Linked DNA regions of Mytilus edulis. The protein of the gene in region 1 binds, or shares a complex with, the protein of each later gene. Links are inferred from orthologs where the notes say so. Each region holds a gene or a part of one and is shown in the gene's direction. Other genes may lie near its edges. The genes, in order: CXXC-type zinc finger protein 1-like and WD repeat-containing protein 82-like.

What was found.
Region 2: CXXC-type zinc finger protein 1-like (region 1) and WD repeat-containing protein 82-like share a complex: the UniProt entries of both Drosophila melanogaster proteins name them as parts of the SET1 complex. The link is inferred for Mytilus edulis from reciprocal best matches to the Drosophila melanogaster genes Cfp1 and Wdr82.

Annotation. Positions count from the first base shown.
Region 1 is NC_092344.1:87,705,402-87,717,746, forward strand, and holds the start of CXXC-type zinc finger protein 1-like, read left to right. Parts: upstream 1-7,426; 5' UTR 7,427-7,512; coding exon 7,513-7,548; intron 7,549-12,345. Other genes in the region: dynamin-1-like protein, read right to left, coding at 6,669-6,770. UniProt on the Drosophila melanogaster protein: Component of the SET1 complex that specifically di- and trimethylates 'Lys-4' of histone H3. Essential for Set1 association with chromatin and trimethylation of histone H3 at 'Lys-4' at transcription puffs.
Region 2 is NC_092344.1:104,246,746-104,259,826, reverse strand, and holds the start of WD repeat-containing protein 82-like, read left to right. Parts: upstream 1-7,069; 5' UTR 7,070-7,118; coding exon 7,119-7,279; intron 7,280-9,575; coding exon 9,576-9,673; intron 9,674-11,384; coding exon 11,385-11,451; intron 11,452-13,081. Other genes in the region: glycerate kinase-like, read right to left, coding at 443-594, 2,969-3,400, 5,642-5,649. UniProt on the Drosophila melanogaster protein: Component of the SET1 complex that specifically di- and trimethylates 'Lys-4' of histone H3.

The DNA of each region.
Region 1 (12,345 bases):
TTAAGCTTTCCAATCTAACTAAAATTTAAACCTTACTTTCTAACTGATCTTTTCATGTACCGGACAGACAACACTCGTTATTTTATAAGAAAAGGCTACTATGCCCGTTATACACTCATACACTGACATGCATGTTGTCTACTTGGAGTCTCCGCACAAACACTTGCCTCAGAATAAACTCCAAATATGGAAAGTGGAACTACTATTCAAAACATAAAGTCAAAAGTCTCATAGAAGAATTTTTTGCAAAGGATGCCGAGGTAATTCTCTGTGTTCAAAATATACATGAAATTTCATAACCCCAAGATTACGATATATATTTGATATAACAAATTATCAATTTTGATATAACAGATTATGAATTTGATATAACAAATTATGAATTTGATATAACAAATTATGAATTTGATATAACAGATTATGAATTTGATTTAACTTGACAAATTCACAATTTGATATAACAGATTTTCAATTCGATATACCAAATTATCAATTAGAAATAACAAATTGTCAATTTGATAAAACAAATTGTGAATTTCTCTACCAATAGTATGGTTTAATTATAATGAGATTGATTGAAACATTGCGTAACCCAAATTGGCACATTTTTGTGTATTGATTCATTGTTTATCTGACGTTCAGCGACAAATATGTCATTGAATGCTTATTCAAAACTTTCTTAACAGGTTTAATGTTTCTGAAACCCTCTCCTTCCCCTTTTATCTATTATTTGAGGCAATTTGGGGGACTAGTTTGAATGTTTTCTATTCATTACACGGGACCTGGTGTCTTAGAACGAACAATTAGAAATATACTCCAAATGCTGCAGTTGCAGGGGATGTAGGGTGGATACCTATCTTTCAAAAACAATGGCAATGCTTAATTCGACTATAGTGCCGTTTGAACAATATGAGTTCTGATCGTTTAAACAGAAAAATTTTAATATGGGCAGACATTATGAGTAAACCAGATGCTCCGCAGGGCGTAGCTTTATACGACCGCAGAGGTTGAACCCTGAACGGTTGGGGCAAGTATGGACACAACATTCAAGCTGGATTCAGCTCTAAATTTGGATTGTGATTAAATAGTTGACACAGCATAGGTTTCTGACACAGAATGAATGTGTTCTAATGAACTTAAAATTTTTGTTTTCTCTTAGAGCAATTCACTATGCTGTTGAATATTAATCCTCTCAAAAAAATGTTTGAAGAAATTTTCTTTTTTATTTATGAAATTTCAAATGAGAAAAATTGAACCCAATTTTTTTAATCACATCCCCCTTTCCCTTATTCCAAAACTAATCTCAATTAAAATTTCTAATGGAGTTTGCAACAATAACTACTCATTTAAATACATCATAAAATATTAAGATGTAAAAAAACTGCTTGTTATCACTGAATGGTAAAGATTATTTTAATTTATCAGTTGGTAGTAAAAAGTGAATATTCATTGTATATTGTATATAACAAAGATTTAAGTTGATTCTGGACAAAGAAAGATAACTCCAATTAAAAAAAAATCTTGCTATTGCACAATATTTTGCAATTAGATATTTCTTGCTTACTATTCTGGACAAAGAAAGATAACTCTAATTAAAAAAAAAATTGCTATTTCACAATATTGTGCAGTTAGATATTTCTTACCATTGCGCAATACTGTGCAATTGAAAAGACTTGCTATTGCACAATACTTAATATAATAATTTTAGATCATGATTTGGACCAACTTGAAAACTGGGCCCATAATAAAAAATCTAAGTACATTTTTTGATTCAGCATATCAAAGAACCCCAAGATTTCAATTTTTGTTAAAATCAGACTAAGTTTAATTTTGGACCCTTTGGACTTTAGTGTAGACCAATTTGAAAACAGGACCAAAAATGAAGAATCTACATACACAGTTAGATTTGGTATATCAAAGAACCCCATTTATTCAATTTTTGATGAAATCAAACAAAGTTTAATTTTGGACCCCGATTTGGACCAACTTGAAAACTGGGCCAATAATCAAGAATCTAAGTACATTTTTAGATTCAGCATATCAAAGAACCTAACTGATTCATTTTTTGTCAAAATCAAACTAAGTTTAATTTTGGACCCTTTGGACCTTAATGTAGACCAATTTGAAAACGGGACCAAAAGTTAAGAATCTACATACACAGTCATGACAGTTAGATTCGGCATATCAAAGAACCCCAATTATTCAATTTTGATGAAATCAAACAAAGTTTAATTTTGGACCCTTTGGGCCCCTTATTCTGTTGGGACAAAAACTCCCAAAATCAATACCAACCTTCCTTTTATGGTCATAAACCTTGTGTTTAAATTTCATTGATTTCTATTTACTTATACTAACGTTATGGTGCGAAAACCAAGAAAAATGCTTATTTGGGTCCCTTTTTGGCCCCTAATTCCTAAACTGTTGGGACCTAAACTCCCAAAATCAATACCAACCTTCCTTTTGTAGTCATTAACATTGTGTTTAAATTTCATTGATTTCTATTTACTTAAACTAAAGTTATTGTGCGAAAACCAAGAATAATGCTTATTTGGGCCCTTTTTTGGCCCCTAATTCCTAAACTGTTTCGAACCTCAACTCTAAAAATCAATCCCAACCGTTCTTTTGTGGTCATAAACCTTGTGTCAAAATTTCATAGATTTCTATTAACTTAAACTAAAGTTATAGTGCGAAAACCAAGAAAATGCTTATTTGGGCCCTTTTTGGCCCCTAATTCCTAAAATGTTGGGACCAAAACTCCCAAAATCAATACCAACCTTCCTTTTGTGGTCATAAACCTTGTGTTAAAATTTCATAGATTTCCATTCACTTTTACTAAAGTTAGAGTGCGAAAACTAAAAGTATTCGGACGACGACGACGACGCCAACGTGATAGCAATATACGACGAAAATTTTTTCAAATTTTGCGGTCGTATAAAAACATAAGTGTATAAAAAATTGGAATTTTTATGTAAGGAAAACGTTTTCTGAGTATAAAGCAGAACATTTGTGTATCATTACAGATTATGTTGATAGTACCTCAGTTGTCAATACTGTTATGTCTAAAATGTTTAGTAAATATGTCGAAAAGTGGCAAGGCAATTTACAATCAGAGAAAGCTTTATTTGGTAAAGGTGGTAACAAACTTCGTACATATAACAGGGATCTCCATGGCCTGTTTAACGATGGCGCCCCGCCATCATTCAAATGTCTTGCACCATCGTCAAATGACTTGAGCCATCGTTAAATTGTCTTGCGCCATCGTTAAATTGTCTTCCGCCATCGTTCTAAACTTCATCGTTTTTTGTAGCCCGACGCCATTTTTTGTTATCAATTATAATCAAATGCATGTAATTGCATAACCCTTAGGCTTTTTATGTTATAATCCAATACAGTTCTAACGCCTGAGGGATATCCGGATTAAGATCGCTAATCACTTGTACATGAGCTTGTATACAGGTAGATCAACAAACCAGACAGAATACTATCTGAGGATAGACGATCCATTTGTCGAATTATTTGTCCAATTAATCAACTAAGTTTCAGCAAATGATTATGATAATTTAGATTAAATAAATAAATTAATAATCCAGTTACAAAGAGAACAGTTTAACAAGTCAAACACGTGCTTTATTTTGACTTACGCAATCAGCATCTCCCTTTTCTTAAGAAGTACAAAATATTTAGAATTACTTTAAAAGTTTAAAAGTAAAAACTTAAATATTTCCTGTAAAGAAATATCGTATCGTAATTCTGAATTCATTTCGTATATTACAATCAAATTGATACATCTGCGTTTCCGGTTTCTATTCAGACTCGAAAGATGCATGTTGCACAGCATAAATTTGCCAGATAAAGTCATTAAAAACCTTTTCATTTGTCAACGTTTGCTTTACAAATCTCTTTAACCTTTTACATAACCCGTACGAATCGTTTTGTTGTTGCTGCAAATCAGCCATACCGGTAATGGGTTCTTAATTTGACAGTGTAAATGAAAAATAAGCTCCACATCATATGATTTTTAACCCCCATAACAATTACCAAAAATACAAGAAATCTACATGGGGACTTTCATGACAGCTTTTGGTCATTCTCAACTAAGGGGGGACCAAGAAGACTTGGCATTTGAATGGTTAAAAACGGCAATAAATGAAAATATTGATACTTCTAATTCTATAATGAAAATTCAAATAAATATAATTTAAATAAGCAATGAATTAGCATGTTCACCATTCCTTGTATGGAGGGATAAAATACTTCCGATCGCGCTACACTGTACAGCGTAGACACGGTTTGTAATGGTGAAAGTTCCTCCAGCGTTCAATTTTCATCCATGGAGATCCCTGATATTTCAAAAAAAAATTAAATATTTCTAATTTTATCTACATGTATGAAAAACGATTCAAATTTAATTATGAAAATACAAATGTTCTTGAATAAAACTTAAATTTGAAGGAGTGAAAAAGAAATAGCTATTTAAAACTGCCCTGTATATTTTCAGGTCCGTCCTGGTCTTTAGTGTTACCATTATCAGTTTTCGAGTTAACAGTAGTTTTAAAAGCTTCTAAATACACACAGAGGTGCATAGGGTTGTTTTTTAAAAGTAAATATGGGTAAAATATCATTCCACAACATGAATATTGCACTGAAACGTTTTATTTGAGTATATTGGGGTATATTGGGGTAAAAAGTCATTTTGTGATCGTAAGCGGCTGACAAGAACGGAACAAGTTTCAATGCAAAAAGTGATTTAAAATTAATTATATTCATAAATTAAAGTATTATTGGTGTTAAAATAACATGAAAATGCATAAAATAATGTTATTATTCAATACTGTTATGTTAAAACTGTTTTTGAGGTATATTGGGGTATATTGGGGTATGTTGGGGTGAAAAGTCGCACCCCAATTGGTGCCAATAGGAATACTATAGTCGATGAAGATACGTTTTCCAATGTAGCTGTCAAGAGCAGAGTTAAAACGCCTCTTTAATGGTTAACACAGGTATAGCAGTGTTTTCCTTTTTTCACTAAGGTAAGGTGGGTGTTTTAAAAAATAACTTGCAACCGAGTGTTTTTTTTAAATGTCCAACCTTTTTTTTATTTACTGTGGGTGCACGTGGGGGTCACAAAAATAGAGTAGTATAATATTCACATTTAATGGAGTTAAACAAACATAAATAGAAGTACTAGTCATATTAATTGTCAAATATTCTTTGATTTATTTTTTTTTCAAAAATTTATCTCTTATATCTCTACTTTCATTTACAATTTTATGCATCAATATGGATTGAAGGCCTTTCAATCCAGGTTTCTGTCCTGTTTCTTGCTTTTGTGCCGTATTTTTGGCACACAGAACAGTAGTATCCTTCCTCTGTGACTATAAGTCATTTGAAGTCTTGCTCATATTTGTCTTCACTTGCGTGTCTTTTCCGTTATTTGGTTGATTTTTGTTCAATTTCAAACAACTCCAACATTACTATCAATTTTATTTAACTTATTTAGTCTAGTATTTTCTTTATCATCATCGTCATCTGCCTTTCTTTTTCCCCGATTGATAAATGAAAACATTGAAATTTGACGTTTGGACGCCATCTTTGTCAATAAAAACAAGGCAGGATTAGTATTCAAATTTTAACGGTACGGAACCGAAAAATACCCGGATTTTGAAAAAAAAAGCCGACCACCTCCTAAAATCGAAAGGTGGTCGGCTTTCAAAAGGTCGGCTTAAATGCCGAATGGAAAACACTGTATAGCATTATGGCAATATAAAAACAATCCTTAATGTATAAGTTTAAATGTACTGTTAACTATCATTGTCATAGAAATTACATCAGATAAATAAAAAAACACTTTTTTAAGATTTTTAAGGGCATGCACGGTGAATCCGGGTCCGTCCGCCCTGATTCTGGTTCGCCCTAATACCTGTTTGCCCTGAGTCCGTTCGCCCTGATTTTATTTTTAAGTATAGTGTTGCGTTGTGTGTATATAATTGAATGTGTTGAAGTCGGTCTACAATTTCGCCGAATATTTACGATGTATCATGTTGAATTGTCTAAAGCTAGCTGCTTTACATGCTGTAAGGTTATAAGTTTCAGTACATTTTTGGACTCTAAGTTTTTGAGGACTAAGTTTGTATTTGTATGTAATTACGTTACTAGGAAATATAAGTTTCTGTAAATTGTGTATTTTTAAATGTGTGAAACAACTGAAGACTAAGTTGTTGTCTTGCTTCTACGAGGATAAGTTTCTGACTTATACCTGACATAAAACAACTAAAGACTAACATGACTAAGTTATTTATATATTAAACTTTATTGATACATATCAAAAGTTTCAAATGACACCTACTCAGCAATCAAAATTCAATCAACAGTAATATTAAAAGTAATTATAAAATAAAGTGTAACAATGCAGCCAAGACTTTTATTTAATTAATATAAATTTGGCAAATATTCTGTATTTAACTTTTAATAGATATACATAAATTTAAATAAATTTTAATATATATATATATATTTCGTTCATTGATGTAACATATACATATCATAAATGAATATAGGGCGAACGAACCCAGGGCGAACGGACTATCAGGGCGAACAAACTCAGTGCGAACGAACCTAGGGCGAACATGTAATCAGGGCGAACGATCCCGATACCATGCACGGTCCACCTGATTGCCTATCACAACAATTTGTGGAAGCTGAATTGTCTCTGAACCAACAGTGTTAAAAACATCTTGCAGTTTGTTGATAACAGGGATCAGCCCTTCCATTGCTGAAAGGTTTATTTTCTATTTGATGTTTACATAGAAATTACATCAGAGATAAATACAAATTATTTTTAAGGACATGCACCTGATTGCCTATCACAGCAATTTGTGGAAGCTGAATTGTCTCTGAACCAACAGTGTTAAAAACATCTTGCAGTTTGTTGATAACAGGGATCAGCCCTTCCATCGCTGAAAGGTTTACTTTCTATTTGATGTTTACATAGAAATTACATCAGAGATAAATACAAATTATTTTAAGGACATGCACCTGATTGCCTATCACAACAATTTGTGGAAGCTGAATTGTCTCTGAACCAACAGTGTTAAAAACATCTTGCAGTTTGTTGATAACAGGGATCAGCCCTTCCATCGCTGAAAGGTTTACTTTCTATTTGAATGTCAATCAGCAGTCAGGGACATTTGACTTGTTTCGCTTTGGGCATAAACTCCAAAATTATCTCCGGCACTTTTTCACTTCCGGGTTATAAGGTGAATAAAAGAATGATTTAAATTACCCCGAAACATTTTATATACACATTCAGTGACATTAGATTATTAACATTTATTACTAATGAAAATTTCTAATTTCAACAATATTTATATTCTGACTGTTTTATATATCTTTCACCGAAAAGATTCTGATTTTTTATTTTAATCTAAAATCTTTCTCAAGACAGCAAAAGGGATGACGTATTACACATTGACAGATTTGGCTTACTAATTTTTGTTGTAGTATATTCTCATTATGTCAGAATCTGAAGGCAGTGCTAGTGGAATGTCTGTAAGTTTTATAATATGAGACAGGTGTAACTTTTAAAATAGTACAAAGTCCGTATCAGTAGTTTTTTTTACATGAATTTACAAGTTTTATATGATCTTTAGAAAAAAACTATCAGGTTTTTTAAAACTGCAAGTAAACCTATAGCTATAAATTATAGCTTGATATGGCTGTGATACTGACTAGTTAATTCGTCTATCCTTCAAATCCGACTACTTAACATTGAGAATGATATGGATTTTCATAATTTCTTGATATAACCCTACAAGCTCAATTATGTTTTGAGTGATTATCTCCCCTTTGCATTTTTAAAATTATTTTTTTATGAGGGGAAAAGGAGGAGGGGGGCATGATCTTTTTTGGGACGTCATGATGGGGTGTTTTTATGCTAGGGATTTTCGGATTGACCGTTATCGGGATCCAGGATTTGTTTTTGAGAATTTCGTAATGTCAAGATTTTTTTTCTTCTGCAGGATTTCATGTTTTTAAGCCTGGGATTTTGGGATTAGGGCCCTCCAAACCTCCCTCTTTTATGGGTTTTCATGCTTTTAAGGCGTTACCATTTCCAATAAAAACATGCATTTTACACATTCATATGAGGTTGCAAAAAATTATCTAGCCATACATTTTTATGTTATTATTAATAAGAAGTTCAGTCTAAATCTTTGCAGACAAAATTAGGAGGCACTGTTTCAACCATTCAATTAAGAAGGTAATGATGTGAACAACAGGATTTTTAAACCTCTTATTTCTAAACTCTATGTGCATCTTTACCAATGTCCAAAAACACAAAAAACAAAATGGTAAAATTTGTCATTTAAAGGGAAACTTCGCAAAAAAATCAAAAATTGATATTATGTCCATTCTATATATAGAAATGCTCAAATTTATAGATATTAAAGTTTTATTCCGCTAGATAAGAGATCACCATCGATTTTAAATTTAGAGTATCAACTCTCTGCGTTCCGCCATTTTGTCGTCTTCCCCGATTAAAAATCACGATATGTCTATAAACCACAAAGGACCAAAACTACACTAACCGATGTAGTCGTAATTGCGTGTCGATATCTTGTCAATCGTACGGTTGTTTTATCTGACAAACTAACTTGATACAGAAAATGTTCTTATTTTTTTTTAAATAACCATAGTCTGTTATTTTTAAACTGTTAATATTGGAATTAGTTAAAAAGTCAAAGTTTAAATCATAAATAAGTTTTCCGTGAAAACTGTTTTCGTAAATCTTATTCGTTTATAATTCTTTAAAGTAATAAATTTTATTCAAATAAATTCGGATATTCCCTCATCTGATCACCAGCATGACTAAAGGTATTACTCCCAAAGGTATTGTGAGGGGTGTGAGGTGACACGTCCAGGTATTCAAACGATTTCCTGTCGGGCTTGCAAGTTCATGCATCGTTTCACTTCTGTAGGTATTGATCAGTGTACACGGCCGATAACTTATAACTCTCCATTTTGAACTATCAGGTGTATAATATACATCTCTGTCTTGCGTGTCCGAAAGTGATATAATATACTATAGCCATTACTAAACTCATACGCTTGTTTATAAATAACATTACTGGTGTAAAGAATATTATTTATAAAAATACAAATAATACCAAAAAAAAAAGATTTGATAAAATAAAAATCTATTTACATTTTTTTTCCAAGGTTTAATTTGGGAAAATGTAATATATACTCGTTGTCAATAGTAAAGGACAGATTGGAACATACCAGAAATATTGATTTAATAAAAATGTACGCACTTGTCGACGATTCATTTCTACGCCTGGATAGAAAGTTACGGAGCTATATCGCAATTTAAAATTATTACATGTATACATTGAACATAAGAAAGAAACATACATTTTGTGTAAATTGGGGTAACAGTTTTGTAAATAGACTATTCCACGTATGCCAACAGTATGTAATCATCGAATTCGATAGACCATTGTATACCAAAAGAAGAAGAAGAAGAAGAAGAGGACCAATTTGATTTAAATACAGGTCGATATAATAACTTGCTTCGGTTCATCGAAGTTATGAACATAGTAAAATCACAAATTTATATATCAATTAGATCGTTCTCCAATGAAAGGAAGAAATTCGACATCATCACAATTGTTCCGACATTCATGTAAAACATATGCAACTGGACGTACACTAATAAACCCCAAGGGATGTGAGTATTTTCTAGGAAAACTTTTGAGTATTAAAGTTTCAAATTGATTTCGGGATTTATTTTCTTTCTTCAAATTCAATGACATCAATTTAAAGAATAAACTGCTTGTCCGCTTTAGGGGTATTCTTGCCAGTTGAACAGACTTATAATTACATTCAAAAATAGGGAACTTAAGATGACATTAAATTCGTTGTCTTTTTTTTTAAACATTGTTGGTCAAATAGCTAAAGTATTATTCGTTGTGAGAAGAAGACTATTTTAATAAGGACGCTCCCGATTATGAATAAATTTGGTTGACGTTTTTCACACTTGAAAAGAATTTCTATTCGTAATTTGTCGATTCCATTCCAAGAGGAAACTTAAATTTCCTGTCAATTTTTTAAAACATCTTTTTTTTTCAAATAGCTGAAGTATTCATGCATGGGTTGTGAGATTTAAAATATTTTGATGAGAATATTAATTCCTAAATAGGTAAATAAAGATCGCTTTGGATGGACTAAATCATATAATTGCAATCTGTTTGAAATATTAAAGGTTGGCGATTTTAATTTTAAAAAGTACAATTTTTAGTTCATACACTCGTGTTTAGAAGGCTATTTTTATTTATAATTTTATTCAATTAAAATAATTCAGTATTTTATCGTTACAAAACTAATCAGAAGTCATAATTCATTTAAAAGTGAGCTTATGCAAAATATATATATAAAAATATACAACAGCTATCCAGTTATTGTGCGACCTTATTTCTCCCGTAAATTCATTTTAATTCTTTTTCTTACATTTCTGTGTCTATAACTATAACTGACTCCCGTATATCATTCATACGAAATGTTGTTCACACCTGAAATGCTGAACCGTGACGCCTAGGTGTCACTGAATGAAGATCAAAAGATTAGAATTACATAATGCTAATCTTTTAATTACCTTGAGTTTAACTACGCATTCAACATTCACTAAGTGTAACAAATTAATACACATTTAATTTCCACAGTACAAGCAAGTGAAAATGTTTTCTGGAATGAAGCAAAAAGTTCAGAATACAAACATGTATTTTTTAATACACTATCGATCGTGTCAGTTTTATATGTTTGTTTAAAGTATTTGAAGAAAAAAAATCATAAAAATGTTCTATTGTATTATTTACTTTAATTACTAGAATTCGTATAAAAAATCCAAACATGAATCCTACAATCTAATTTAAAAAGTTGCATGGCTGTCACTTACTTTTCGTTGGTTAATAGCTACACCAAAAGTCGTCGATGCGCTTTAAATAGCGTTATTAGATGGTTAACGAACAAGACTTAAATGAGATTAATTTCACTCCCGGCATGCTCAAAGACTTAAACTACGTCACATAAGTCAGGAAGTTTGATAAAATAAAATTATTAATTCCAAATTTTCTCCCTTATTACTTTTCATATCGAAATAAAACTTGGGGAATATGTTTTTTATGGTATTATGAACATAATAAGATGAAAAGTGAAAAATCGCGAATTATCCCTTTAAGAGCAATATATTTTTAAATAGCTATGCCTGGGAACGCAGTAAGTGTCCTTTTGAATTTCTTTGTCCATGAATATAGTCCATTAGTCTGTACTGTGGCCGACAGTGAATTATAGTTGCAATTTTTTCATACCCTTTAAAAAAATTTTTTTTAATGTTTTAGGCCTCAAATAGCAAGAAGGATGAAATTCCATTGCAAAAAATTGTGGGTCATGAATTTTAAAATAAAGTATTGATTTGAAAAAGGTTAAAAATTAATATGTCTGAAGCTGTCAAAAGAATTCAAGACCCCCTTAATTAAAATTGTCTATATTTGAGTTAGAGCAGATGAAGTTTTCAATAATTTTGATACAATTTGTAGTACATCACACACTGTAAAAATATTATTGAGAAAGCGCAGGTGGGATTAAAAAAAAATCATTTATTGTCTTAAAGAAATGCACTTCAAAATTAAAAACCAATTGTTCAGAGAACAATTGAAGGTCTTTCCACCAATAAGGATCTATTTTGATATGAAAATATTAAAATTCAGTTGAAAATGTCAGTTCCTATGGCTTAATGATGTATAAATATGAATTTTGAGCAAAGGTCAAAATCTAGAACGTCAAATTTACTGATGACCTTGACCTATATTTCAAGGTCATAAACCAGGGACCCCAAATAAAAAGACCCTAGGTCTGTAATATGTATAGTTAATGAGTTATATCACTTTACGTTTAATTCTTAATATAGGAGGGGCAAAAACTCCCATTTTATGTCTACACACCCTTTTAACAAAAATATATAAGTTACGATATGTCGCAACTAACAATTTAGTAAAAATAATTTGTCGGTATCTTATAAGGTTAATGAAAATTAGTGAAAATAGGCCAAAATCAAAATTTAGAATATGACCTTGACCTTTGACCTTTACCTAATTTTCATTTTTTTGGACCAATGATCTCAAAACAAAAGACCCTAGGTCTCTATCACTTATGGTTTTCCAGTTTAAAATACATTTCAAAATTTCAAATACAAAATGGGAACTAACTCTCATATGGAGTCTCTATACGGCTTCGGTCAAAATAAAACAGAACATCCTGAGGATGTAACGAGCAATTTGGCAAAATAAATTT
Region 2 (13,081 bases), about 17 Mb from region 1:
TCTCCATAAATATTCCTGATCAGAATAATCTGAATATGTGTATTCCTTTTCTGCTCAAATATTATCAGATAAAACTTTAGGTACATTGCATATATGTTAAAAATAGCAACCCAATGGCACAACAAACAAAAGGGCATCAGAATTAAGTTCATTCTATTGCCAATTTTTTTTTCAATATTGTATTGTATTTTTTCATTTTATTTTTTTATTTAATGACAGATTAATGATGTTTGACTTGATATCAGCCAAACTTATTCTGTTTTGAAAAGTAACAAGAGTAGGAAAATTCCATTCAATTTTAATTAAAATTGGCAATAAAAATAAAATTAGAGTTCAAGAGAGGACTCAACTAAGGAAATTATTCTTAAAAGAAGAACTTAACATCTTAAAATCAAATAGCTGACCAGTGACAAGGCTTACTAAATATTTTATTTTAATATACCTGATATCAAGACAATTAGGAGATCCTTTTCTCTCAGTTTAGAAACCAAATCCTGAATTCTCACAGCAGTTTGGTTACAACTTTTATCTGGCATATTGTTTTTAGATCCTTCTCTCACCTCTATTTTGCTGTTAGAATCCAGTAACATATCACTGCAAGATTATAACAGAAATGAATAAATTGAATAAAAAAAAAAAAATTATAAAGAAGATGACACATTTTTTTTATAAATGTATATGTGTTACAGTGAATTTGTATAATCAGTGATTATGTAGAATCCCTGAAATTTTCAGGGATTATGTAGAATCACGTTCTAGTTTAGGGATTATGTATAACCACTAATATTTTCAGGGATTATGTATAATCACTAGAAAAAAAACGTTAGGGATTATACATAATAACTGAATTGAAGAAATAGTTTTATTTATAAAAAAAATGAATAAAAGTCAAATAATTTATTCTACAAAATCATATTAAAACATCATTATAAACATAAAATTGTAAAATGTTAAGCACAAAATATTAAAATGATAAACCCATTTTTAAAAATGTTAGGCACAATATTTTAAAATGTTAAACACAATATATTAAAATAATATGCTTCACATCTGTTTCTATCACAATATCCACATTTTAAAAAACTTTTTCCTTCACATATCGGATCAAATTTTTCGACACACCTAAGAAAAATAAAGTGTTCAGTAAAACTATTTCAAGGTATCCCGAAAAAAAGGAAATAAGCAACCTCAAATCTGTTCGAGCAAAATACCATGTTTAGTGGCCAGGCAATATTCTTTTTCAGAATTTTTGTGAACAATTGCCAATGATTATGTTTTTTGGGTTTCCCTTTCCTTTTTTCCCTGCGGATTTGTTATGAAAATATTACACCAAATGCCAGCTTCCTCTAAAAAAAAATTATTTATCAATCCTTAGTTTTGCCTGTTTTATCATCATGACATTTAGATGCGTATTAGTTCTCTTGGTTTGATTTTTCTTGTTCATTTGACCAAAAAAAAAAAAGTTCCATTATCTACTTTGCCACAAATAACAAGCTCTTTAGATTTACAAATAGAACTTGAATATCCATTTAACGCTGGCTTTTAAGCAACAAGTTATCGCTATAAAGGGAAGGTTGATTATTATTAATTTTGAAGTCTTCAACTTTAATTCGAAATCCTGTGTTGATTATATCTGTATGATTATCCTCTGTGTTTTAAAGCAAATTTATTTCATCTGGCAAGGAATATGAAAGAAAAAAATTATAATTTGTCTATATTATTTATTTTTTAACAAACAAAGGTTCTTTAAATTATTGATAATCCCTGAAATCATATTAGGGAATATGTAGAATAATTATTAAAATGTTCAGTGATTATGTAAAATCACTGGTCATTTTTAGGGATTATATATAATTACTAATGATTTCAGTGATTCTACATATTCCCTGAAAAATCAGGGATTCTACATAATCCCTGATTATACAAATTCACTGTAACATATGCATGGTAAAACCGAATTAGACAAAATGCAAACATCACAATTAAACAAATCAAATTTGGTCTTGAATGAAAGACAAGCATTTACATGTATACTGTATGTTCTTTTTCAAGTTAATACAATAAATTAAGCCCTTCATGCCAAAAATGTGTACATGATCAACACATTTACTAGCATTCAAAATTACTATAAGAAATATCAAATACAAGTACTTATAATTACATTTGATGCCATAACAATGAGATTGTTTTTCTGCACATTATTGTCATGCAGAGCATTTGCAGTCATAAATGTTTTTTGTTGGGAGATTTTTGTAAAACATTTATGATATCATTTCAATCTAAGAACATGTAATGGACCACTTTTGAGTTTGTCCTTCACCAGAAAAAACTCGTCAATTATGCGTGCCTTTATGGCATCATTTACCAGATAGAGGGGATAACCTGTATCCCTGCACTATTAATGTTCATCAAGTGTCTTAGTGGTAGTCATTGTGCTGGATAAACTAGAATTAATGTGTGTCTCTAATGACAGAAGTGCTGATTCAATTATGAGAATTCAATTTGCCTAATAATACATGCAAAATAGCATCATAGTTTTCCACTCACTCAACATGGAAACAGAAGTGTACATGTAAGTGCCCCTAAATGCACGAATGATGTTTACTAAAACCAAAGTTTTTGACCGAAATGCATCTAACTCGAAAGTTGGGTATTAAGATTATCTCCCCTTCTTATGTGCTTGTCCAAAATCAGGAGCCTGTAGTTCAGTGATTGTTAATTAATGGTTAGTGTCTGTCATATGTTTTTTTTTGTAATTGGTTTTGTTCTCAATAAAACTGTCTAAAATTTTTCATGTCAGGCCTTTAATAGCTGCCTATATTGTATTGGTAATTCTCCTTGTTGAAGGCCATAAGCTTTTCTATAATAGTTTGCCTAAAATTATGGAAGATGGATGAGAACAGACAGTGTTCCATACAAGTGTCAATACCAAATTACAAAAATAAAATTCATAATTTTGTACACTTACAGCTTGCCAGCGTCACTGAAATTCTCCTGAATTCCTGTAGGTACACTAATTATTCCTTTAACTATATGCTGTGATAATGTATCATCTACTGCTCTGGCCATTCCCAATACAGCCTTTCCAAAACCAACCACATAAACATTGTTATCTAATTTATATTTTTTATCCTCTATGATCAAATTTTTCCCATTGTGATCCAACTGAATATGTTTCCGTATCAAATGATGGGGTAGTACAGAATTAACAGCAGATGAAAATATAGACACTACATCTTGATTGGCCATCTCACCAGTGTCCTTTCTTCTTACACAACTGATGTAAGATGAGTATTTGTAAAAATTAAACGTCCATCCATTGACTGGTAAATGTTTCAATACTCTAGGTTGTCTGCTTTGTGAAATAAATTTACAGACTGGACAAAGCCAACTGATGTACCTGGTGAATTAGAAAGAAAAAATATACATTTTCATAACAAAGTCAGAATGCCATATTTTTATTTATTGGTAGGATATAAACTAACACAATAGCAACTTCAAAGCATATTAGAAATGAGTGAAACATTCATTTCCAGAAAAAAAAAACACTTTAGTGATGATTCCACAGCAAAACAGATGACACTTGTCTATATATAGCTAGCACCATGCACCAAATTAAAGTTTTATGTCGTTTTCATAGAGTGTACATGTACAACATGTGTAATCCTATCTTTTTGTTTGTACCAATCTTAATAAGAATGGATTTCATTCTATAACAGCCTGCACAGATTACTTAATGAGACAAAACATAATTACTGACTTGCATATTTATTTTATTTTATTGCTTATGTAAACAGTGCTGCAGATTGACTAAAATGTAATGGAGTTATCTTTCTTGCACTATTGTGTAATTCAGGGTCCACCTTTAAGGAATGAGTTTTTGTTATTTGTTTAAAATTTCAAATGGATTCAACAGATATAATTAGGCATCTCACAACCTAAAAGTGTTTGGTGTAGTTTATGCCTAAAGGTGGAATACTACCATGGGTTTCCCTTAATTAGTCTATTAAATTTGCAATTTTCAAAAAATTGAGCAGAAAATACTTGGCATGAGTAAAGTTTTATCCTGTACAGTACTATGGTACAGACAAATTTCACATAACATTTCATTGCATTTAATATAATAACCATCACTGGAAGTTTTAAACCAATGAAGTATTCACCTCTTTTTTACCTGTGTACAAGCTTTAAAAATTAGTAACAATGTAACCTCAAGTTTCCAAAATATTCTATAGTAAAACCCAAATATAAAAAAAAATAATGGTGCTTTGAAATACCCAGAACTGACAGTGATCTTCCAAAATATTTAGACACTGGAACCCTTCCACAAGAAATATGTAAAAAATTCCAAACTTGATTTAATTTAGAACATATTCTTAACTTCTAGTTTATTTTTGGCACTTGATTTTCTTAAAATCCAGTAAAGTTTTTAATTTTATAAAACATAATTATTATTTTTTTTGTCAAATTCCTCTTGTGGCTGTCATGCATTTAAAATTTTTCATTTTTTATTTTTTCACAGTAAATTTTATGTAAACATATTTGTCAAATCCTTCTGATAAACATGTCCATCAATGACAGTAAGAAGTGACAGTCAGATATCACAGCAAAACGATATTTGCACAGTGTTTCCCAATCTCTGTCTGACCGACAAAATATCAGACAAAAAATCATTCAGTCAGACATTTGTCAGACAGAAATTTTAAGATTTTTTGGTTGAATAGAAAGTAGACAAGTTCAAATTTCTCTTTTGGTCAGATAAACCCTAAAACAGTTTGGCACAGGCTGTTTGCATAAACTGACATATATTTGATGTATTATTAAAGGGGCACTAGGTACATATGATACTTAAAAAAAAATCAAATTGGGATTTTTGTTTGTGCAAACATTAAAGAAAGTGAAAAGTGAAATAATTTGCTTTAAACAGCCAGTATGGTTCAATTTTGTCAAAATAAAATGTACACTTTCTTTTAGACGATAAAAATATCAGCTGACTTTGACGAATCATGCTATTTTTTTCCAAAAAAAACAGTAAAGATAATTATTTGAGACATCTGACGAATCACGATTATGATATATTGATGAATCACAGTAAAATTTTAAACAATTTGATGATAACGCGAAAATTACTGTTTGACGCCTGACGGTAAAGGGCATTACCACCCTCGTGTAAGGCATCATAGCAAAATAGTGCAAAACAATATCTCTTGACATGCTAATATGACAAGAGATTTAATGCATCAATGAGGGTGGGTTGGAGGGGTCCAGAACCCACAATCCCAGGCTTAAAAACATGAAATCCTGAGTTCCCAAATTTAAAAAAAAAAAATCCAGCCATCCCGAAATTTTCGAAGAAAGCAATCCCAGATCCAGAAAGGGTCAATCCCAAAATCCTGAGCTTATAAACACCTGATCCCGACATCCCAAAAAGGTTCTGCCCCCCTAATTAATTAGACACAGAAAATCAAGGCAGTAAGGAGTAACAGCAATGTGATAGTAGATCTTCCCATAGATAGAAAACAAGTGCCTGTGCTTGAGGATGATAAATTTGATAATGACAAAAAGAAGCTTAAAGTTTTATGATAGAAATTCGAATGCACCTACTAAATAAGCCGACAGGAAACAAATGAATGTATATTACCGTGTCATAGTCTTAAAGGGGTCATAGAGATAACAAGACCAATGTATATCTAGTAGATCTTTTTTTCGTCTGCTAAGGTGTCCTCAAATCTTGTCCCGCAGTTAATGAAGGTTTTTTTTAAACAAAAGACTAAACAAATCTCTTTATGTTCATAGATAAATGACAATAAAGTAATAAGCAATATGTACAGGGGTCAGAATTTTTTTAATACTTAGATTTGTTGGGGAAATATTAACATTAGTTCAAAAAATCTAAATACCAAATTAGAGTAAAATTTAAATTGCACTACAACGACAATAAATAGTTCGGTGTGATGTTTATATTTTCATGATTTTGGTGTTACATTCTGTCTTTTATTCATTCTTTACTTAAAAAATAGAAAACCTTTATTATTTTATTTGTGTGTATTTTTTACAAATTTATTATTGTATTTATTTATGCAATGGTTTGCCTTGTACAAATGTAGCTTTTTTGGTGTTTGGTGATATTAAAACAATATAACGCAGCGGTCTCACTAATTAGCGACAACAAGAATTTTAGCGACAACAAGCGTCAACAAGCGACAAGAAGCGACAACAAGAATTATTTTAGCGACAACAAGCGACAAGAAACTATTTAGCGACAAGAAAACATTTTTTTTTAATTAAAATTAATTATTGCAATAAATATTAAAAGAATATGCAAATGAAAATAATTTTAGCGACAAGAAAGTTAAAATTGATCATCTATTATGAATAACAGCCAGTATTACGTTTAATTATTGTATTATGAGATTACTTTTCTTTGTGTTTTAGAGCATATTATTTATCTTATAATTTGTTTTTTAAAACTCTGTTCATGCAATATATATTAAGCTCGCAAAATGAATTATTTATGCATCATTGTCCTGAAAATATTGACACAAATTGTGAAATACAAAGAACTGAAATCAAACAGGAGGAAAAGAAAATTGAAATGTGAATGTTCACAATCTCTTTCTTCCTCACAAATGTTTCATTTCTTCGACGGTCTCAGGGGCGGATGCAGGAATTTTCGAAAGGGGGGTGCTAACCCAGGGCACCCAGGGCAAAGGGGGGGTGCAAAACATATGTCCCGATACAAATGCATTGATCGGCAAAAATAAAGGGGGGGTGCGCACCCCCGGACCCCCCCCCCCCCCTGGATCCGCCACTGGACGGTCTATCTATCTATATATATATATATATAATAAAACATTTTAATTAGACATATCTGCTCGTATATTTTAAAAAAAAACCATTAAATACAAATTTCTAATAATCTAATAAAAAAAAATGTTGTCTTGTCGCTAAATAGTCTTCTTGTCGCTTGTTGTCGCTAAAATAATTCTTGTTGTCGCTTCTTGTCGCTTGTTGACGCTTGTTGTCGCTTCTTGACGCTTGTTGTCGCTAATTAGTGAGACCCTAACGCAGTAAATAAACAACAGCGCCTCCTACGAATTGAGGCTCGAATTCACAAAATGAAGTTAACTGACAATGTTGTTCGAAACTTCAGAGTTGCTAAAGTATTTAGGGAAAATACAGAACGGATAAATAATTTAGACTTTTCGGCAAACGGAGACACTCTTATTTCAAGCAGTGATGATGACTCTATCGTCATATACGATTGCCAGAATGGAACGTAAGCTTACAAGAACTGGCTTTTGGTTTCCTTCATAAACTGATAAATAATTTTGCTTCAAGCACAATTATCACTTATTGTTTTTATAGTCTTATGCACGACGCGTTGCGAGGGACAAAGAATTGTCGGTCTATTATGCAACAATCTGGTTTTGATTGCGCGCTCACATGTGCAATTATTAATAATTTATGCTTACTACTACAGGATTGTATGAAAATCAATGCCAATCAATAGACGTATTTACACTTGTATGCAATTTTGTCCGCCATTACAGAAAATCACACAGGTTCCCAGAAATATCCATGGCCTGTTTAATGATGGCGCCCCATTATCGTTCAAATATTTGCGCCATTTTCAAATGGCCCACGCCATCCTTAAATTGTCTTCCGCCATTGTTCAAAACTGTTATCATTTTTTACAGCCTGACCCCATTTTTTTTGCAATTTTAATTAATTGCATGTAATTGCATAACCCTTAGGTTTTTTTATATTATAATCCAATACAGTTCTAATGCCTGAGGGATATCCGGATTGAGATCGCTAATCACTTGTACCTGAGCTTGTACAGGTAGATTAACAAACCAGTTGGAGAATATTATCTGAAGATAGAGGATTCATTTATAGAATTATTCAACTAAGTTTAAGCAAATGCTTATGATAATTTCGATTTAATAAATTAATAATCCAGTTACAAAAAAAAATTGTTTAACAAGTCGAACACATGCTTTTATTTCAACTTTTATTACGCAATCAGCAGCCCCCTTAAGAAGTACAAAATAAGACGTAAAATATTAATATTATTTCATCGCAAGTAACTCAAGTACTGCTGTAACAATAATATAGAATTCCTTTAAAAGTTAAAAACTAAAAACTAAAATATTTACTGTGAAATACCATATCGTAATTCCGAATTCATTTCATAGTTTACAATCAAATTGAAACATCCTTGTTTCCGGGTTTATATTCATACTCTAAAAAGATGTTTGTTACATAGCATCAATTTGCTAGATAAAGTCATTAAAAACCTTTTCATTTGTCAACGTGTGCTTTACAAATCTCTTCAACCTTTTACATTACCCATACGAATCGTTATGTTGTTACTGAAAATCAGCCATACCGGTATTGGGTTCATGACTTCTGAATTTGACAGTGTCTGTGAAAAATAAACTCCACATGATTTTAAACCCCCATAACAATTACCAAAAATATCAAGAAAACTACATGTGGATCTTCATGACAGCTTTTGGTCATTCTCAACTAAGGGGGACCATGAAGGCTTGGTATTTGAATGGTTACAAACGGCAATTAATGAAAATATTGATACTTCTGTAATGAAAATTCAAATGAATATAATTTAAATATTAAGCAATAAATTAGCATGTTCACCATTCCTTACATGAAGGGATGAAATAGTTTCGATCACGCTACACTGTACGGGGTAGACACGGTTTGTCATGGTGAAAGTTCCTCCCTCGTCCAATTTTCATCTATGGAGATCCCTGGTTTCCTGTAAACTTTGACATCATAATTCAAAACATTTGACGTCACAACGAAAAAGTAATTGTTGTTTGACGTCAGAAGGTTATTCGAAGATGATATAAGGTCATTCTGAGGCATAATACAGCTAAATACCAAAAGTTTATATGCCCCTTGGCAGTATCACTCACTATCAGGTCTGTTTGTCCACAATACACTTTCACACCCTACATGTTAGCCCCTAAGGTCTGTTAGCAACCGACATGCGCACATGTTTGCATCAAATTTTAAATCAAATTCCAGTTGAATTATTAACAGAAAGTCTTGATTCATTGATTATGAAATATTAATTTGTTGTTTAAACTTAGCTTGGTATGAGTAAAAAAGGGCAGTACATTGTTATTCTCATGCAACGTTTTCAGTCTTTTTATTTCACGTTATTTACGTATTTTGACGTTTTAATTTTCGTTTTCTCTTGTTTGGTAAGATGTGCATGCTATGTGTTTCCCAGCATTTATTCCCCGTGTTTCATGTCAGTACTCTGATCTATTGGTATTATAAAAGAGCTAGCACATTTAGGCAACACAGTTTCTTGTTTTGTTGTTGATTGCTGTCTGTTCTTGATTAGAACATTATTGGAGAAGTCTTGTGATTACTTAAACATAACTATTTACTACACTGTACAATCTGACAATGAACTGTGGTAATTGATTTTGAATTAAGTATCTGTATTACATGTACTTATAGTCATGATAATAAACTCAATATCTATAACTTCATGTTCATGTTATGTACATCATGGGAAATGATTTTATTTACAGGCCTAAGAAAACCTTAAACAGTAAGAAGTATGGTGTGGATTTGATTTGTTATACACATGCAGTCAACACAGCATTACACAGTTCAACCAAAGTTGATGGTATATATTTTATTATATTTTTTTTTGGGGGGGAGGGGGGGGGGGGGGGGTCTTTGTATACAACTTCATATTGGAGACATGTAAACTCAAAAGAGTAATATTATAGGTACAAATTGTGTATGCATAGCGTAAATTCATGTGAACATATAGTGTTTCCTGCAGCTTTTAAAAAGGGCAGGGTAGTTGTTAGCTCAGAGGGCACATTAACACGATGGACAACTATTTTAGGGCACTTAATATAAACAGGCAATTTCTATAAAATGGATTCATTTAAAACATACTAGTTTAATGCTATAAAAAGGACATATGCATCTGTAGTCAATCATTAAAACAAATTGTTAAACAAGAAAAAGTGTTTAAAACATATATATGAAATATTTAAAACAACAAACACAATTAAAAACAAAATCAGTTCTTTAAAAATGTTTAAAAACAAGAAAGAACTGTGTCATATATATAAAAATATTGCTTTGGTCATATCAATTGTCATTGTCAAATCCTCCTTTTTTTCCCTAAAAACAGTTTGACACATTCCCTGATATCCAAATCATCTTTTGTATTTGCTGACACTAGAACAAGATTGTTTACAGTTGACACATTCAGTCTATTTCTGCGTTGTGAAACTCCGTGCCTCTTTGGTGCTAAAAATAAATAAATTACAAATAAAACAAGAATATCTTAAATAATCTGGAAGTTTTTTCATAAATTGTTCCTTTCTTAAATTAATTCAAATTAAAAACTGAAGAAGTAAATTTTAAAAAAATAATTTGATGAAAAAATGAATTAATTGAAAGTAATTAATATGCAAGTGATTTCATGAGATCCTTGGCCTAACTCAACTTTTACCTTAAATTATCCCTTTGACAAAAGTTTATTTTTACCCCCGAACTAACACCGTTGCAAGTGCATAACCATTTTGTAATAAAAATCTACAAACCTTTGAAAAAATGATAAAATCTTTCTGTATTTTGCGGCCTGTTTCTCATTTTCTTCCTCACGTTTTCACTTCATCCGATTTGTTGATGGCATGATTAGTATCTGTATTCACTTTTCAATCTATTGTAGTTTGCTAATCAACTGATTACGAAATCGATTACAAAATGGCGTCCTAGTGAACTTTTGTTTACGTTTGAAGGGAAATAACTCAAGCGGTATTCATAAAATATGTCTTTCAGTACCGGTTGTTAATGACGACGATAAAGGCATTTGTCAGGAATTTCGACAAAATTAGGGCAGGGCACCAAATTTTTTTCCCAAATAGGGCAGGGAGTCGAGAAATCGCGGCAGGGCGCCATTACACACCAAAACCACCTGTAGGAAACACTAACATACAGGAAAAACATAGCCCTAATTTGAGAAGTAATGAGCATTTAAGAAAGGTTTACAGCTAATAGATCATTTGTCTTGTTTTAGATAATTGTAATGCCCTACATACAGTAGAAATCATGGTAGTCTGGAGGTTTGATGTTTCCTGTTCTGTCTATTTGTACTGCTAGCTATATAGTCTCACATGTAACATGTGAAAGTTTTTGGTTAAGGTAGTTTACAATGCAGTCATGTTCAATTTGAAAAATAGATTGTGATAGTGTGAAATAACAATAGTTTACAAATGATGTCAAATTTATAACATTTTAGAAATGATTGTGCACCACTACAATAGTTTTGATGATATATGCAGCATGTTTATGTTTGTTTTAATTGTTAATTTTAGATACCATCAGATATCTGTCTCTTCATGACAATAAATACATCAGATACTTTCCAGGCCACACTAAAAAGTAAGTAGTTTATCACATCTGAGTTATATATAAATAAGAAGAAATAACTATAGGTGACTGTACAGCCTTCAACAATGATCAAAGCACATACTGCACAGTAAGTTAAAAAATGCACTGAAATGACAAATGTGATATAACTCAAATGACCAGCTTCAAACATTTTGTCAACATGGTCAAGGGAGACAATTGTGAAATTTCAGTAAGTTTCAATGAAATAAGAAAATATTAATTAGAATACTATGTATTTTTGCTGGTACAAATATTAGATATAAAACTTGTGTAATCATGGAGAGTTTTCTTGTTAGCACTAATACCACATCTTTTTTTATCTTAAAATCTTATGAATACATAACATGTGACCTTAAAATAAGAGCATTCAATAACATACATGTATCAGGGCTCACGCTACCAGGCGACTTGGGCGAAGAAGTCGCCCTCCCGACCGTCACTTCGCTTTCCCCGACCCCCAAAAGCGAAAACAAGTCGCCCTGTTCTTGACGAAAGTCGCTTTCAGTCGCTTCCGTCATTGGACATTTTCAATTTTTACCAAGTTGATGAAACATCAATTTTTTACTGATAATTAAAGAAATTCAGACATAAACTATTCATTATCTTTAGAAAAGAGGTTGAAGCATTGTCTTCGCAGTGTGTATCAGGTTATTTGATAAAAATACAACTTTTTATCACTTCGTGCATTTTCGCAAGTTCCGGTGCTTGTTACTCGAAAACGTACATCAACCTAAATTTCGGCGGCAAAATAAGTTTGTTACTTCATTTAAACGTGATAAAAGTTGCCTCCAGTAAATGTTAAATCCATTTCTTGCATTAAAACCGTCATGTTCCTTTCCAAATAACTTGTCAAACATCGTTTATTTTTGTAAATTTTCTTGCATTCGTCCGCCATTGACCGATTTCTAAACTACGGATCTGAACCGGACCAGCTATGACCGAAATCCGTACTTTTACAATAATTACTACGGACGCACGGATGGAACAGCTGACAAAAGAATATTGATCCCAAAGGGAAAAATTACGCATCCCACACGAATTAAGAGACTTTTGGTTACATCTAAATGATTGTTGTATATAATTCCCTATATTTTTTATGAATGTTTCAAACTATTGATTAAAGTTGCTAAAACTCTGAGACTATTATACTAATATCAATATATTATGGCCCAGCTTAATAACTTTCATATTTTTTTTATGAGAAACACTGAATTTCATACACAAGATAATTTTTTAAAATAAGTTTTTTTTTTAGTGCTAGATATTTAGTTGGTAGTTTCTCACAAGAACCTTAGTAAAACTTAAACAACTTTTAATTTCAAATGTTACTTTAATTGTAATTTTTCACTCATATGAATTGAACAACATAAAAAGAACATTATTTACATATGGCCCTTTATACTATTGTAAAATCCAAACATTGTAGCGCACCCGCGGGAATGAGCACTTCTCTTTCAAATCTCACCACTTCTCCCTATCAGTTTCAAAAAGAGAAGTCACTTCTCCCTATAATTCTGAAGTAGTGTGAGCCCTGTGTATAATCAGATGGTTACCCTTTTTCATTATTATATGAATTCAGGTGAGGCAATGACTATGAGTGAAAAATAATCAGTTTAAATTA